Lepisosteus oculatus: one gene and its partner. The protein of the gene in region 1 interacts with the protein of each later gene in a pairwise test. Links are inferred from orthologs where the notes say so. Each region holds a gene or a part of one and is shown on either strand. Other genes may lie near its edges.

Evidence for each region.
Region 2: the proteins of ccnd2a (region 1) and cdk6 interact in a two-hybrid assay, tested with the Homo sapiens proteins (2 studies listed by BioGRID, with this or other methods). The link is inferred for Lepisosteus oculatus from reciprocal best matches to the Homo sapiens genes CCND2 and CDK6.

The regions. Positions count from the first base shown.
Region 1 is NC_090702.1:6,802,514-6,810,697, reverse strand, and holds the start of ccnd2a (G1/S-specific cyclin-D2a), read right to left. Parts: upstream 3,257-8,184; 5' UTR 3,053-3,256; coding exon 2,858-3,052; intron 1,421-2,857; coding exon 1,205-1,420; intron 1-1,204. UniProt on the Homo sapiens protein: Regulatory component of the cyclin D2-CDK4 (DC) complex that phosphorylates and inhibits members of the retinoblastoma (RB) protein family including RB1 and regulates the cell-cycle during G(1)/S transition.
Region 2 is NC_090705.1:4,900,262-4,907,653, reverse strand, and holds the start of cdk6 (cyclin-dependent kinase 6), read right to left. Parts: upstream 3,001-7,392; 5' UTR 2,935-3,000; intron 2,839-2,934; exon of another isoform or gene 2,571-2,838; intron 2,562-2,570; exon of another isoform or gene 2,454-2,561; intron 2,051-2,453; exon of another isoform or gene 1,482-2,050; 5' UTR 1,275-1,481; intron 925-1,274; exon of another isoform or gene 578-924; intron 440-577; 5' UTR 310-439; coding exon 86-309; intron 1-85. UniProt on the Homo sapiens protein: Serine/threonine-protein kinase involved in the control of the cell cycle and differentiation; promotes G1/S transition. Phosphorylates pRB/RB1 and NPM1.

The DNA of each region.
Region 1 (8,184 bases):
GAAGAACATTACAACACCCACATTCCATTTCAAGAGGTTAACTGTTGTAGCCATATGAGATGTATTCCCTATTCAAAAAATCGCTTGATGCAATCAGATGGAACTACCCCCAGACAGCCCTCTATCTCTTGATTTCCGATAAACGGAGCATATCCACTTAATAAGCTCATCAGGTGAAAAGTTCTGGCTTATTTTCAGAAATTAGAGGTCACCCACTGACCACTGGCCCTGCCCTTTCATACTCTGGCCACAGAAGTAAGCAGGCAAACATTCAGCGTGACATTAAGAAATCCGTAGGGCGGAATTTAAAGATATGAAGAAACTAGCTAAACTAATTGTAGAACAAAAACCCAACAAACATCCCAGACCTTAATTACGGTTCAGCTGCTGCCACAAACGTTTAGTAGATTTCGTCGGCAAACGGGGGTTTTGACGACAGCGAGCTCAAACCCTAAACAAACAAAAAGTCCCTTAGACTTCTCTTTCGATTGTCAATCCAAATCAGTAAGCCGTGCACCACTTTAACGTGGCGGGCTATTTTTATCGACCCATTTTTAGTCCTAAAGAATTAATCCTGAATATTGTGACGCGAACAAGATTCAAGGCGTCCTTCTTTTCCGTAATCCACCTCCGGGAGGTTGGAATCCAGACACTGGCTTCCACTCAATACTGAAGTCACCACTAAAGACTTCCGAATATCTAACGCTAGATGGCAATAAAGACCGCCTCAACAAAAACACTCCAAGCCTTGTTTTTTTTAGCTTCACCGCACCATGTTTTCTTCCACGTGATTGATGGTCCCAATACATCGGACTTCGAAAAGGAAAATGCTGCTCTTATTTGCATGACTTATTTGTGCGTATAACTCTAGTTATAAATGCCTAATTGTGTGACTGGGATCAAAATGGCATTTATAAATCTATATGTAATAACCGTTACAATTAACCCCCCGATCACACACACTGTCATATACAGAAATACACAAGAGAGACATGCAACGCACACACAGGTATACGCAATCAGAAAAAGTGCAAAAAAAATAAAATGATACAGACAGGATATAGTGAGCTATTCCATTTTAAAACTCTATACTTCAAAAACCTTCATTTTTAAAACTCTTCAAATTCATCAGACGTCTATATTTGATAAAGAATTTACTCAAACTGAGCTTAAGAACTTTCTGCAGAATCAAACTGTTGCTTACCAGCAACTCCTGTGGTTTGATGGAGTTGTCAGTATAGATACAGAGTTTCTCTGCAGTTAATGGACGCGTCTCTTTCAATTTTGACGCAAGAAACATGCACACCGCTCCCAATAATTGCAGATTACACTTTTTGGTAGGTACCACTGCTAGAAATCTGTCCAAGTAGTTCATAGCCAGAGGGAAAACTTCTTCCTCGCACTTCTGCTCTTCACAAACCTAAAGAAAAAGAGAGAACGAATAGCCGGATGAACAAAAACACAGGGCACGCAAACTTCGGTATAACAAGTTTTATAGATTCCAATATTTCAAATACCTGTTAAATCAAATACAAAGGTACTTAAAGGATAAACTGAACTTGTTTTCCTTCAAAATCTCGATAGACAATATAATTTCCGTGTTTTATATTTCGTTAGAAATCGTTGTTTTTTTACAACGGGCGGATCCGGACCATATAGGGGCCAATATTATCGATAACGTCCAGATATGTTATTTTTGAAGGTTGGAACAAGGTCTCTGGCACAGACTGTCAATAGACTCGCATTCCTTCGGTTCATTCAGTAAGAAATGAATTCAAGTCACAATCACCCCAGCCAAAAAACACCCATGCAGCAGACTTCGGGAGCTCTTTTTTACATTTCGTCATATTTTCAGAAAATATTTAAAAATATTAAAAAAATATCTAGACCCCGGATTTTCACTTCCAAATGTTCGCAAAGGCTTCCCACATCATTCCCGACAATTGATACGCTTGGAAACCGAGATTAAACACGATAAAAACTTTGAAATCAGAGCATAGTGTCATGTGTTCGCCGTTGAACGTCTGGGAGCCGAACCGCAATAATTATTTCAAAAAATTATATAAAATCGCACAGAGTGAAAACATGAACACTTTTTATACGAAAATAAAGTACAACGGGTTAACTTCATTTTCTGACCACAAAAGATAAGAAATGTCCAAGCGATGGTCAAATATCGAACATAAATCTAGGCTGGCGGATTTTGGAGAGAGGATAGAAAGTAAAAGAGGAGTTAAGGGCCCGCACCCCTGTTGCGGACAAATGCTTTACAAAAAATATACAAAATATGTCCGGTTTTTCCGGGGTCAGTTTTAAGAGGACAGTGAAGTTCAACGTTTCTCCTATTGAGACATATCTAATTTAATAGTTGTTATCGCGTTTTAGTTAGTGATAAACCCGTCGGAAAAAAACACGAACTGCCTCAATAGTTCAAAACCAACATGGCGTTATATTATAGGATGGGGGTACGTATTGAACTGCATACGTGTGCATGGAAATATTTATTCGAGGAAAAAATAAAATTAATCACCGAAGCACCTCTTTCAGGGCCCCGATGATCACTTTTATTCGAAACAGACAGCCTTCTGTTCAGTTTTATAAACCCCTTCTGATCAGCTTTCCTCTCTGAACATAAGAACTTCAGAACACGCCTCGGCTCTCCGCACAGAACAGCATAAAATGTATTTAAAAAACACAGACACGTGTAATTCCGGGAAAGTCTCGTCGGAAAACAAAAAACAGACTCTTCTTCATTTTGAGCTTGAAAGTTCAGTGATATTAAGCACGAAACGAGGCTTTAAAAGTTTTAGAAGGAGGTGTGGGTTACAATGCAATTCTGCCTGCATACAGTACAAACCTCAAGCATCCAAGTTGCAACCATCTTCCGCATAAAAGGTTGAATATCCTTTTGAAAGCATTTGAAATAAGAACACTGGGGTAAAAATCTCTCTTCAATGGATAACAGGTTTTGCAAAACCCGGTCATCGTACAGAAGATTCGGGTCTGGATGAGCTCTTCGTACGGTGTCCGCCTCGTAGCAAAGGAGTTCCATGGTTTAAGCTTTAAGAATATATATATTTATTATCTATTAAATATTTATAATGATAGAAAATACAAAAACGACTGGAAATAAAGTATTTTAGAGACATATAATTGGGACTGCAGGACTATCCAGCCGAGTCCTGCCTCCCTTGAAACTTTTTTCCCCCTCTCCTATCCCTCTTGCTCTTCGCTTAACTTGTGCTCTCGTTTTGAAGCCTACTGAAGGCAGAGTGACGCAAGCTAACAGGGCCGATCTCTTATTATGTAGAACAGTTGGCCAGACTACACACATCAAAGGTTTTTTTTTTCTTGTTCAGTAAGCTAATAAGGAGCCAGAGGCCCCCAGACAGGGTACAAAATGACACCTTTTTATGGATATAATTTTTAATTCTTATAACCAAATGACTGATCTAAAACACCCCCCCCCCATCAACCACCCCCCCGCAAACACACATCTTAAGACCCCCGGACGCACATAAAAAGTGTAAAAAGCCATAAAAAACGGGAATATTGCGTTCATATGAAATTTGACGGTGAATTATGGTTGTGTGTGTGTAAAACGATATTTTTTGTGTTGGTTTTTTTTCACACCACCTGCATTTAAAAAACCGAGAGAGAATTTAGAGGTGAAGGATTTTCTGCAGACCAACTACCGAGTGATGGAAACAGGGAAACAACTCCTCAGTTGTTGAAAAGGTCGAAAACGTAAGGTTTGCAGTTTTATTTGTTGCTTATATATAGGCTGTAGCTATTTTGGTGACTTTTCTAGACGCCTGGAAACGTGCATCAGAAACTACAGGGAAACTCAGAAAGCTCGCTCTTCGGATATATAAAATTCTTTTTTTTTTCATCTTCCTGACTGCACGACTGTGTCGTTTTTCTTTTCCTCCCCACCCCCATGAAAAAGAGCTAACCAGAACTATCTTTTATATAGCAACAACTCTTGTGGTCGGTGAGATAGCTTTCTAGGAAATGGCGAGCTAGAAACGTTGTATAGGCTTGTTATAGATAGTACTATTAAGCCTTCCACCAGTTGCTAGGCAGCAGATTTTCAGGTTTTATTTGTGCAATGAATGAAAAAAAATGAGGATGTTTCAAAGCATACTTCCAAGTCGGATATTTTCTTTGGCTTTCATTTAGTTACAATTAGGGTTTCCTAAATGAAATTTCACTGTAAGAAGAACACCATAGATGGTAGAGCAGCGAATGGCAGAACTGAACAATCTAGCTTGATTATATATATATATGCCATTTCATTCTTTCATGTACACCAGTTAATTAATATAAAATCCATAGAAACCCCTATATTTCTGATATCCATTTCCTGTCAAGATTCAGCCTTGAGCTGTTGAGTTTTACATTGGATCATACCATATACGAGACCATTCATCTGAACACTTCGAGCTCTGGTACGGCTCCAGCAATAAAATACACGAAGAAACCCATGTATAAGAAGAGGGTTTTGTACTGGGGATTGGAGAAATAGTGGCAGAATAGTTCCGTTTCTATTGTTCCAAAGCCTGCGAGTTGGGTTGGATAAGAAAGGTAGAAATAATGCACGGTTCTGGTAGCTTCACACTACATTATGTTAATAATATCATCGAGGCAAACCACTTCATCTTGAAAAGACATATTCATTTAAAGTACACCGCGAGTGTACATTATTGAGCACATGTATACCTCTAGAAAGCGTGCAACAACCAAAGCTTGGATGAAGATCAGTTTGGTCCACCAGCTCGGCAACATATGTCTAGAGTTTGCAACGACGGCTCTCTCATTTTTTTTTTTTTGCAGTTTTAAAACATTAGCGACCAGAGCAAATGCTTCAACGCTTTTCATGAAGTGGGAAATGTCTCTTTAAACAAGAATTTTTTGGTTTCTAGATTGTTTCCACCCCCAGTCTCTATTTGCATAGCCAATAGCTCTTCTGCGCGCGTCCGCAGCACGCTGATTGTTACCGGGCAGAATAACTACTGGCTTTATGCATTCCTTCTCAGGCTACTAGGAGGAGAACCTACAATAACCTTAATATTAATTACCCATAAGATTAAGCAATAATCTAATGCGCACATCAATGCACTCCGACAACAGAGCGCAGGGACACATAAAACTCAGGCATACTCCGATTATTGTGCCATTTATCGCGAGGGTATTCTAAACGAAATAGTACCTTGTCTTTAAATATTCCGTTCGGAAAGGAAAGTGAAAGAAATGCCAAAATTAAGCCGGTTAATTGAGTCGATTTCTTAATCTGTGGGATCCACCACACCGAGTCTCAAGCTTCGCCTTTTAACTTGTTTCATGTTTCAATTGTGTTAATGAACAATGTACAGTCTACAGTATACCGTCTCGCAAAGAGCATGAACGGATTCATCAGATCTTAAATCACGCGCTACAGAGACTTCCTTAGAAAACACACTTTTGACTTAAAACGACTGTGTTTTACCGACTTTATATATAGTGACACTTTTACAGTCATCTTAAAGAGTCGCTTTTAAAGGGTTGGATGCAAATCAACGTGTTTTTTTTTTTGCACGTCAATTGACCAAGGTGTTTCCTGAACAGTTAGCAGTTCATCGTCATTGTTCTCAATGGAACACGGAATAAATGGAATAAAATAAGATGATACTAGAAATGTTTGATGTTTGAGTAAGCGACTTAGGAGCACTCAGTGGCAATTTAGTGGCAGAATACAAGCTTCCCGTTCATTTTCAATGCAGTAGTTCAGTGGCTATAGGCTCTTTTTTTAGCATAATTCTAGCTCTGCTCCATCCTATTGCTGTGTTACAACAGTACTGTACTGTGCCCACTGTGCCTTACATTTGAAGAGTTACGACGCGCTTTATAGCAACTTAAGTTAAATCGTAATGTGAACATGAAAAAAGAAGGGGTTTCATACAAGAAAGCCCCCTAAATGTTGTGATTCTCTGTTTAGCTAAGTGGGAATGAACCAAAACTAATCCGACACCTTTTCAACTTGAACCCTTAACGCAGCAGTCCTGTGTTTTACTCCATGTATGTATAAAGGCTATATGATGTCTGTGCCTGTGTGATACATAAAACCCCACTGTTTACACGGCAAGGATTTGTATCGTATGAGTTGATCACGATGCGATTATTTACGTTTCCTGTGGATCTATTCATTAAGGCATTGGATGATCTTATCTGTAAATTAGGCAAACCGATAAAAATGGTTTCCCAGCACAATTCAGTGACTCAGGTAACAAATATGATGCGATTTTATTGTTATTTTACTATTCATTCACGTGCCAGGGGCTTCACATGAATGCTTTTTTTTCATATTTAATGACATTTTTGAGACAGCAGATGTTTAACAGTCTAGGCTCGAAGATAAAAGTACGCCATATGCTATCCCCCCTCCAGAAACAGGGGAAAGAAGTTCAGCGCATCTATTTCAAATATGGACAATTGGGGTTAAATGACACAAAGTATAGTTTTAACAACGTAGAAGAACAGCTGTCGGTGAAATAAAATCATATAAAAAGCATTACTCGCCGTCTTATAGTATTTTTTTTTTCATTTCCACAGTCTATGCTTCAAAAGACTCGGGTTTGAAACGTTTAACCTGACATCTATGCTTATTTGGAATTTAAATCAACAACTATTGGAAAATGTACCTCTTTTCATGTATTGCGTTTGATACGTACAGCACATGATTTAATAAATTAGATGAGAAAATGTTCCATTTCCTTCCCACGTGTACTGCTCGGTACAGCCTACTGCAGGCTTGGTACAGCCTACTTTATGGTTTCGTTTGAGATAGCAACATGCTGTATTTTCGCGGATTTATGACGTCACGACACTTGATAAAAGTGGGCATGTGCTGAGAGACGGTTTTAGACGCAAACGCTGGAAAGCTTGGTTTTTCGTGTGTGATCAGTCCTGCTCGTTGACTCGTTGAAGGCGAGGTATTGATTCCTGAAGAATTCTCCCATTGAAAGTCCCCGCTCATTCAATATTTTAATGTGCATCTACCAAGTTTGTAATTCGGTACATCTGCAAATTCAAAGAGCTAAACAGCGCTATTTTACAGCACTTCGGAAACGTCTTACAATCTTATAAGCATTGAATTCGATACCTCCAGCGATTTTTAAAAACGACGTAACAAGATAGTATAATCGTTATAATGTGGTTCACCTCAGTTGTCGACTATTTTTAACCTAATGTATATTCTTTGTAACCTGGCGTGCGTGACGTCCCTTTTTATTGTATGTTTGCAAACGATGACGCACAGCGCACAAACAGCACACTTTGGTACAGCTCGGTCTGTTTTAGAAGTATTTGACTTTGACACGCTAAGAAGAATTTCGGATATCGATGGGAAAATTAAAATAGTAATTGAAACAGCCGACATTGGTTTGTTTGTTTTTTTTCTGTAAAGTTAAGGGGAAGCTGGTTCAGGTTTGTTTTTCTGTAAAATAGTTTTCGACTTTTATAGTCGATTATGTTAAAATGTGGTACTTAAATACGCATAATTTGAATGGTAAAGTTGAACATGAAAAATAAATGCAGTATCACATCATCTTGTTCCAGTGTGGATGTAGATTACAGGTACGGATTATCACCATACAATTTTAAGCATATGGTATGTCTAAGAGGCTACTTTCCTCAAATTTGATTACACTTTTTATTTTATAATTTCATTCTGAAACATATATTGTATGTCCACAATACCTCACAGTTGTTCAAGTGAATGTCAAAAAAATAATTTGTATTGAGAGTTGTATCATCCAATGATTATGAGTTATAGTATTTCTGTATACTGTATATGCTGTAAAGAAAACTGTTTTCTTGTCATTTAATAATCATAAATCAACAAAACTAAATATTACGTTTATTCTTTAGCCATTATTCATGTAACAATTCATACATATTCCATGCTTAAATGCAAGTATTGCAAAACATTAATATCTGACTTATATTCATACAACTCACAATATTCAGTTCTTATTTAATGAACAGAACGACTGTTACTTTACAACAGAAAAACAGTGTCCAGAAAGGACACAATATTCCTTACAAAACCTGAATACACATAATATCAATTTTAATAACACAGTCTGGTTATGTTTTTTTCTCAATACATTTCTGTTTAATCTAAAAACATATATTCAGACACAC
Region 2 (7,392 bases), on another chromosome or scaffold:
ATCATTATTCTCATAAATCCAGCTGATGCAGGCAGCTTTGGGGATACCCCCTCTAATCTCCCAACTCAGATATCCTCCCCCTTACCTAACAACGTTGGGGTGCTCGAAGGACTCCAGCTGTCTCAGGACCGCCACCTCGCGGATGGTAGAAAGTGGCATTCCTTCTTCTTCGGTTTGCACCCTGACTCTTTTAAGGGCAACGAAACGGCCCCCGTTCTTCAGATCCCGTGCTTTGTATACCTTTCCGTACGCCCCTTCCCCAATCTCAGCAACAGGCTCATACTGTTGAGTCAGACTGTCTTTCTCCATTTTACAGCGTGCTGCAACTTTGTAAAAAAAACAACAACAACAAACCAACTAATCTGACAAACCCCGTCAGGCACCTTGAAATGTTACGAAGAAGACATCATCAGAAGAGCAGATCTAGCATCATCGAAGTCTGTTTGAGAAAAGCAGAAGAAAAAAAAAGCGCATTAGTCGATCAGAAAAAAAAACGTTACATCCACAAAACGTGCAGAGTAAAGGATATGTGGCTTTCTTTTAGCCCCTTCTAAAATAAGATCTTCTTTGAATTTACCTGACACTCCCACTAGGCTGTTCTGCATATCAGCTCGAGTCTTCCTCACATCTTCCCCAATTCAAAAGCTTTTGCACAGCAGCTACACATATTACAATAGAGCTTCATACTGTCAATGCAAGTGACGGAGAAGCGTACCAGAGGTGCGCTTCGTACATGTTTCTATTTTGTTCCCGAGAACTAGAATTTGAATTTAAAAAAAAAGACGAAAATAAATCAGACTGAATATTTCAATAGCGCAAATTTGAAGGTTTACAGCCACCTCTTTCGCCTTTAGGCTTTCCAAATGTGAGCTGCTTAAAAATAATTCGGTTCAGCACGTGGCTCCGTGTGCATGGTATTGTTCGATAAATTTAAAAAGCCAGCAGTAAGCCCAAGTTATCATCTGATCAGCCCGTATGCAATCAAGTCCCTTTTCCTACATTCTTTACAAATGCAGGACGTGGTATTCTTAAAACGTGGCTCTGATCGACCACTTTAAAAATGCAGTTTATTAAACCACACCTCCGTATTTACAGCATCTTTATACAGTTTATCGAATAACCCCACAATTCTCAAAACAGAACATTAAAGGCAAAAGTACCAGCCAAGGTACGTGTACATTTGTGTGCGCGTTTAATGAATGTAATGTAATATATATATATACACAATTAATTGCACAAACATTTTACGCTGTCATCCAATGACATCAAGTTACCTGATCGATATCATTTAGGACAGAAAATTCCGCAAGGACGCAACGTTCTGCACGTCCTTTATAAACTGCGATGAACCAGCTCGTCCTTTGTGAATGGAAGTTTGCAAATACTTCACAGATCCCTTACTGTCCTAGTCAGGGCCACACAGGTAGAGAAACAGTGAACGCTGGGACCCCCATTCTCCAGCAGCAGCAATTCAGGCAGATCTAAAAAAAAAGGGGGGGTATTCGTCTTTCACACAGAAAAACAGTGGAAGTGCAAAACCTTTTTTGAGATCAAAGTGTATGGATGAACCCTTTAAACTGCAAAGTTCTTTTTTTTTTTCCTAGCGAAATTTCTTTCTTTTCTTGTCCTATTCCAGAATATGCAATGTTGTCTGTGAGCTCCGGCTCTTTTTCCCTTTCCCACGCAGGCTGAATGTGTCTTGACCCCCTTCAGAGAAGTTTGACATAGAGCAGGAACATTTCCGCATTCCTCAGTGACTACAAAGGAAAACCGCCTCCTTCTGCTTTCTCTATGCCTCCTTGCTTCTTTTGCATTCTTAAGTTCTTTCTTTCTCTCTCTCTTTTTGTCTCAGTGTCAAAAGCAGGGATCACCACAGGGGAAAAAAAGCTGGGCGGCCACAAAGTTTATTGGACGCACTGGCCGATGTACCAAGCTTTTCAAAGCTCCTCTGTGCACAATGCTGTATTGGAAACGAGACTGACACAGGCTCGCTGTCATCCCAGATCTCAGGTTCAATGCCCCCCATGCACTACACTGGGTTAGTGTCAAGAGATATTTAATTCAGATCAGCTTTTTTAAATTGCGGCAAATATTTCAGCATATTTGATAGCAATGCCCTTGTAATGCAACCTGGCATTTAAACACAGAAACGACTTTCTTTTAAACTATAACCAAATGTTCTGCTGAAATTAGTCGGTTACCTGGATACCTGTAATTTGATGGGACTAAACACAGTCTATATATAGACGCAAGCCTGGGGCTCCATAAAAATACGAAAAAAAAGATCAGAAATTCTTAACAGTGTTTTAAAAAAAGACAACTCGCCAACGGGGCGCCTTTCACTTTCTACTACTTTGTTTCTGATAACAAAGCACATGGACTTTATATAACATTATTTCTTTGGCAGACTATAAAAATGCACCCCCTGATCAGAGGAAAAGTTGTATACATACCAATTAACAAATGTAAGACAACGTTCCGTTTTTTAACCCCTCAAGCCGGGATGAAGAACCTTTTGCAGTATTGTCACTTTTCACACCCATTTCTGGCTTTATTACACGGATACTCACAATCGCTACGCCGGTTCTAACGTGGGATAATGTCTGTTTCTGGAGAATTAAAGACCAAAAATATATGCAATAGGTATGTCGCACATTTCAGTATCGGTACCCAGAATACTACGCGATGCCTAAATATCCGGTCTAAGAGCATAAATTCTCCCAATATAAAAATAAGTTACACGCAAAATAAGAACTTCGGCACAACCAACGAAAAAAAATGTTATGTTCATAACGGGAAACCGAAATGAAATCAGGTGGATGATGCGCTCAATTAGGACAGGGAGACGGTCTTGGTGCGTTATTAAAAGGGAAAGCAGCAACAACAGCAACTTTAAGAGGCCAAAATAGGGACACGAATATCATCAGCGCATACCCTTAAAGGCGACTCCTCGGAGAAGGAAAGACAGTTCTGTCGCTGCAGTTTCGGTTCGGTTTTCAGGTCATCGCCCTCCACCCCCCCCTCAAGAAAAAGACACATCTGCAAATGTCTGTAGAGGAGAGCTGGGTTTATAGTTTAGGATTTGTGTTGGTATGTTTGTAACTGTATATGAAAAGTTCACATCTGCTGTCTCTCTTGAAGATGAAGTTTAAAGACGTTCCACTCACGCCATGTAACTTTAATAGCGCATTTGTTTGCCTATATACAGCATTTCCCCCTTTATTCTGTAATTGGTAAGTAATATTTTTGTAATATATGACTTAGGGGGTATTAACGCGTTGTGCTAAAAGTGTAATTCGTGGAAAATTGCTACAGCTGTTGAAATTCAGTTTCCCAAAGGTCAGTACACTATTAAAGGCAAATACTTTAAAAGTTACCATTTCACAGTTTTATGGGTAAAAACCTAAGATGTAGAAAATCGCCTGGAAAAGAAATGGATTGCACTTTAGCTGCATTTCCTTACAGTTTAAATAGTTTGCAGCTGTTTTGTAGACAGTATGGCTTTATATAAATAGGAACCATGTTATATATAAGCTTTATACTTTCATGTACTTACTGCAATATTTGAATAGGATGAAATGATCAGAAAACTGGTAAGGATTTGTGTTTGTAATTTGTACTTGTTGTTTTTATTTACATGCTGCTTACGGAGCTCAAACAAAAAAAAAATGAAAGACAAATATGTATGCAAGGAATTTCTGTACACACATCTATTTAAAACTTTTTAAAGTGTAGCTGAGTAGTTTTCCTGAACTTATATCTCATGCAATAAATACATTAACAGAATTTGAAGTTGTGATTTTTTCTTACAATTTTCCTTGTCTAGATGGTTAATATTACAATTAGTATATTATGCAGTATGAATATAAATAACCTAAACAACTTTGTAAATTATTTCAGTGTTATGTTGATACAATTCAATTACAAAGACATACCAAATTGTTCTATCATTCTCTGGGAACAAGTCTGTTTTGGTTGTGGTTTTGTTTCGTAATTTACTTGGCTGAAAAAAGTCTAAAATAATAAAACATTTAAATGTTGCTGAAGTAAAAAAATGGTGCCAGATGTTTAATACAAGGGTGCCACTGATGTATGATGATCTGATATCTGGAACTTTGCAAAGAAACATTGAAAACTGCTTACATTGATCCCAGAGTAATTATATTTATAACAACAGTTGATGATTAATGGTCAGGTAATTATCTTGAAACATGTTTGACAAAATCAAATCAAGCATTTCTGTTTTTTAAAAAGTGAATGGAAATTGAAAATGAAAAACAAAATGTTAGTAACTTTCCATTGTTCGGAAAATTTACCATGAAGCTGGTGAGGGAATTCCTTGACATTTCAAGTTTGTTTGTGTACACCACGACATAACACAGACAGTAACCCTGAAACTGCCATACTGTAATATCCAGTAAAAGTAAGAATTATATACAGTACATAGAAACTGAAAGTAGTTACAGGAATGGAGCTAAAACAAATCTAAAATTTCCAGGTATTTGAAAAGCTATTTTGTAAAGACTTGCCATAAGTATGTTTTCAATAAGTAAGAATTAAAGTTTTTGACTTTATAATAATAATAATATATAATAATTTATAACTTCATGTTAATGCTTCTGTTACCCCACAAGAAAATGACTGCATTATTGTTCCAAAAGCAACCGTTATGATTTTAAATGGTTTCACTGGGAAAAAAACACACTTTTTTATACACTTGCTGTTCTGTAATACAGCACAATGTCTCACTAAAACACATCTTGTTTGATAATTAAAATAAAAATATCAATATGATCATTGTTTTTGTGATTTGGGTGAGAGTTTTTGGATGCCAAGAAAAAAATCGCTTTATTTTTACTTTTTCAGCTTACAAACTGCAAAGACACAAAAACTAAAAAAAAAAAAAACAGTTAAAAAAGAGCTTGATGACTTTCAATATATTATTCACTACATGTTCTTCAAATTAAATGAAAATCAGATAAAGGTTTCCAACACCTACATACATAACAATATGTGCAAGTAGAATTGAGCAAGTGTGTAAAAGTGTCTTTTGTTTTGTCACTTTTTATTTTAATAACATTTCCCAGTTTCCCCAGGATTAATGATGATCATGTCAAAGTTTTCAATATCACCCATTTCATTTCCATGTGTTGTCTTTCTGACACCCTTTCCACAGACTGCCTTCTGTTTAGTAGTCTGACTTAATCAAATCTTTTGCGAAAGTGAAGGTTTTTCAGATTTTCCTGGTGTCCGAAAGATAGAGGAGGACAGAGTCCTCTCCTTTTTGCATGGGCTGCAGATCCACTGGGATTGGCTAATCCTCTCGTTAGAAAATAATTCTCTACTTGTGAACAGCATAATGATGAGCCTGAAAACCTTCTGTCAGAAGCAATTAAAAATATATTCTGCAGATGAGATCGAACTAGATTGAAAAAAACCCAGTGAAAATAGCATATTTAATATCAATAATATATTTTAATGTATATGTAAAGAATAGTTTTTTAGTAAAAGTGTATATTAACATAGCAATAATTTCAAACACTCTTGTTAATGTCATTAATTCCCTGAATACCTCATTCAATAATTCTAAATAGTTTCTGAATTATGTCATTTCTGAACATGGATGCGAAATTAAACATTTCTTAAATTATTTTGAAATAATTATTTTCTTTTTTTCAGCAGGCAATTAAAGTTTTTTTTTGCTTTGCAGTATTGAAACTTGAGCTAGTAACATGGTAACCATGGCTTTCATAATAATTTGTGAATAATGTTTTCTATTTATCACTAGGCAATAACAGACAAATGCTTTGTTTTACTACAAAATATTCTTAGAAAAGCACAGATATCTATATGTTGTGACATAGTAATACATGAAAAAATATTTTAGTGAACTATGAGTCTTGCAGTTAAATGAAACGCCTTGATATAAGTTATCTACTTCAAGTTTTATTTTTGTATCTAAGGATAGGAACAGTTATATCTGTTTATATAATTATAGATTAGGGTGTTTTATATACTGGATAAATGTGCAGAGAAAAGAGGATGTTTTTTTAAATAACACAGTAATAAATAGTAATAGCATTTTCTGATTTGCCGTTCTTTCAATGCCTCACCCTTGCCTATCTAAATATTTATCTCTATGACGATTTAAAATAAACACAATCATTTTTCCATAATGAAAGGTTTTTCTGTCTCATAAAGCAGGACATAATTGTAACAAAGTAAAGAACTTGATACCAAAGAATCATATCAAGAAATTATTTTCTTCTTGAAAATGCTTTTGAATGCATATGAAGGACAGAAACTCATTTGTTTTACCAATAAAAGTAACTAGTAGAATTGTATAATAAATGTCCATGTTTTAATGTAAATATACAGTATATGACGTAATACACAATTACTTGAAAAGTCATTTTAAATACACACGAAGTCACTGTGTATTTTTTTAAGTTGTTAAATGTCCATCATGAGTTAATCGCTGTCTAAATTGGTATTTAAGCTAATAATAGAGAACTGGAAATGAGCAGGACTGTTTACATTTAAAAATACCTTTAGTCTAACTAATAACTAATAACTAACTAATAACTAGTCTAACTAATAACACTAACTAGTCTTCTAATACTGGATTTTATATAATTAAAGACACATATTTATTAAAGATGAAAGACAAAACAATATTAATATGTCCCTGACATAATGTTTCAATATTAATATTGTGGGGATGTTATATACTTGAAAATAAAATTGGATTTGAATATTTTAGGATATTTTGAATTACAAAGCACAAGTATATACTGCATCATCATCTTAATAGCATTTTTCGTCCATCTTTCAGAAACAACTGGGTGAACATTGCATCATTATTTACTGCAGTCATTTACAACAGGACCTTGATTTTATGTCATCTAAAGGACAGCATAGAGAGGTTAAGTCACTTGCTCTGAGTACTACCAAATTAGTCAGTGACAAATCCAGGCTCTTAAACTAACATGTAACAGCAATGCACTGATAATCACTTAATCATTTATGCTCTTTATAAGCAAACATGAAAAGTCACTAGGAATTTGGAATGGTTAAAAATATTCAGGTGTTGCAAAGTATCCACAATTTAGGACACTGAAGCTAGATACCCTGTGAATTTAAATGGAAATGTACTTCGATTGTCAATTAGACAAATCAGTGTTGTCTCAGTTACTGTACATGGAAAGTAATGGAATATAAGAGCCAAATTAGAACAGCATCTGAATAGATTTAGGTGGCATGGATCATGGATCATGGATCTTTGAGCAAGTAGCTATGACAGTGGATATCTTTAGGGTGTGTGATATGACATACAGTACTGGATGTAACTTTAAAGTAATGAGACTGAATAGTACTGTTTTTAAAGTTAGA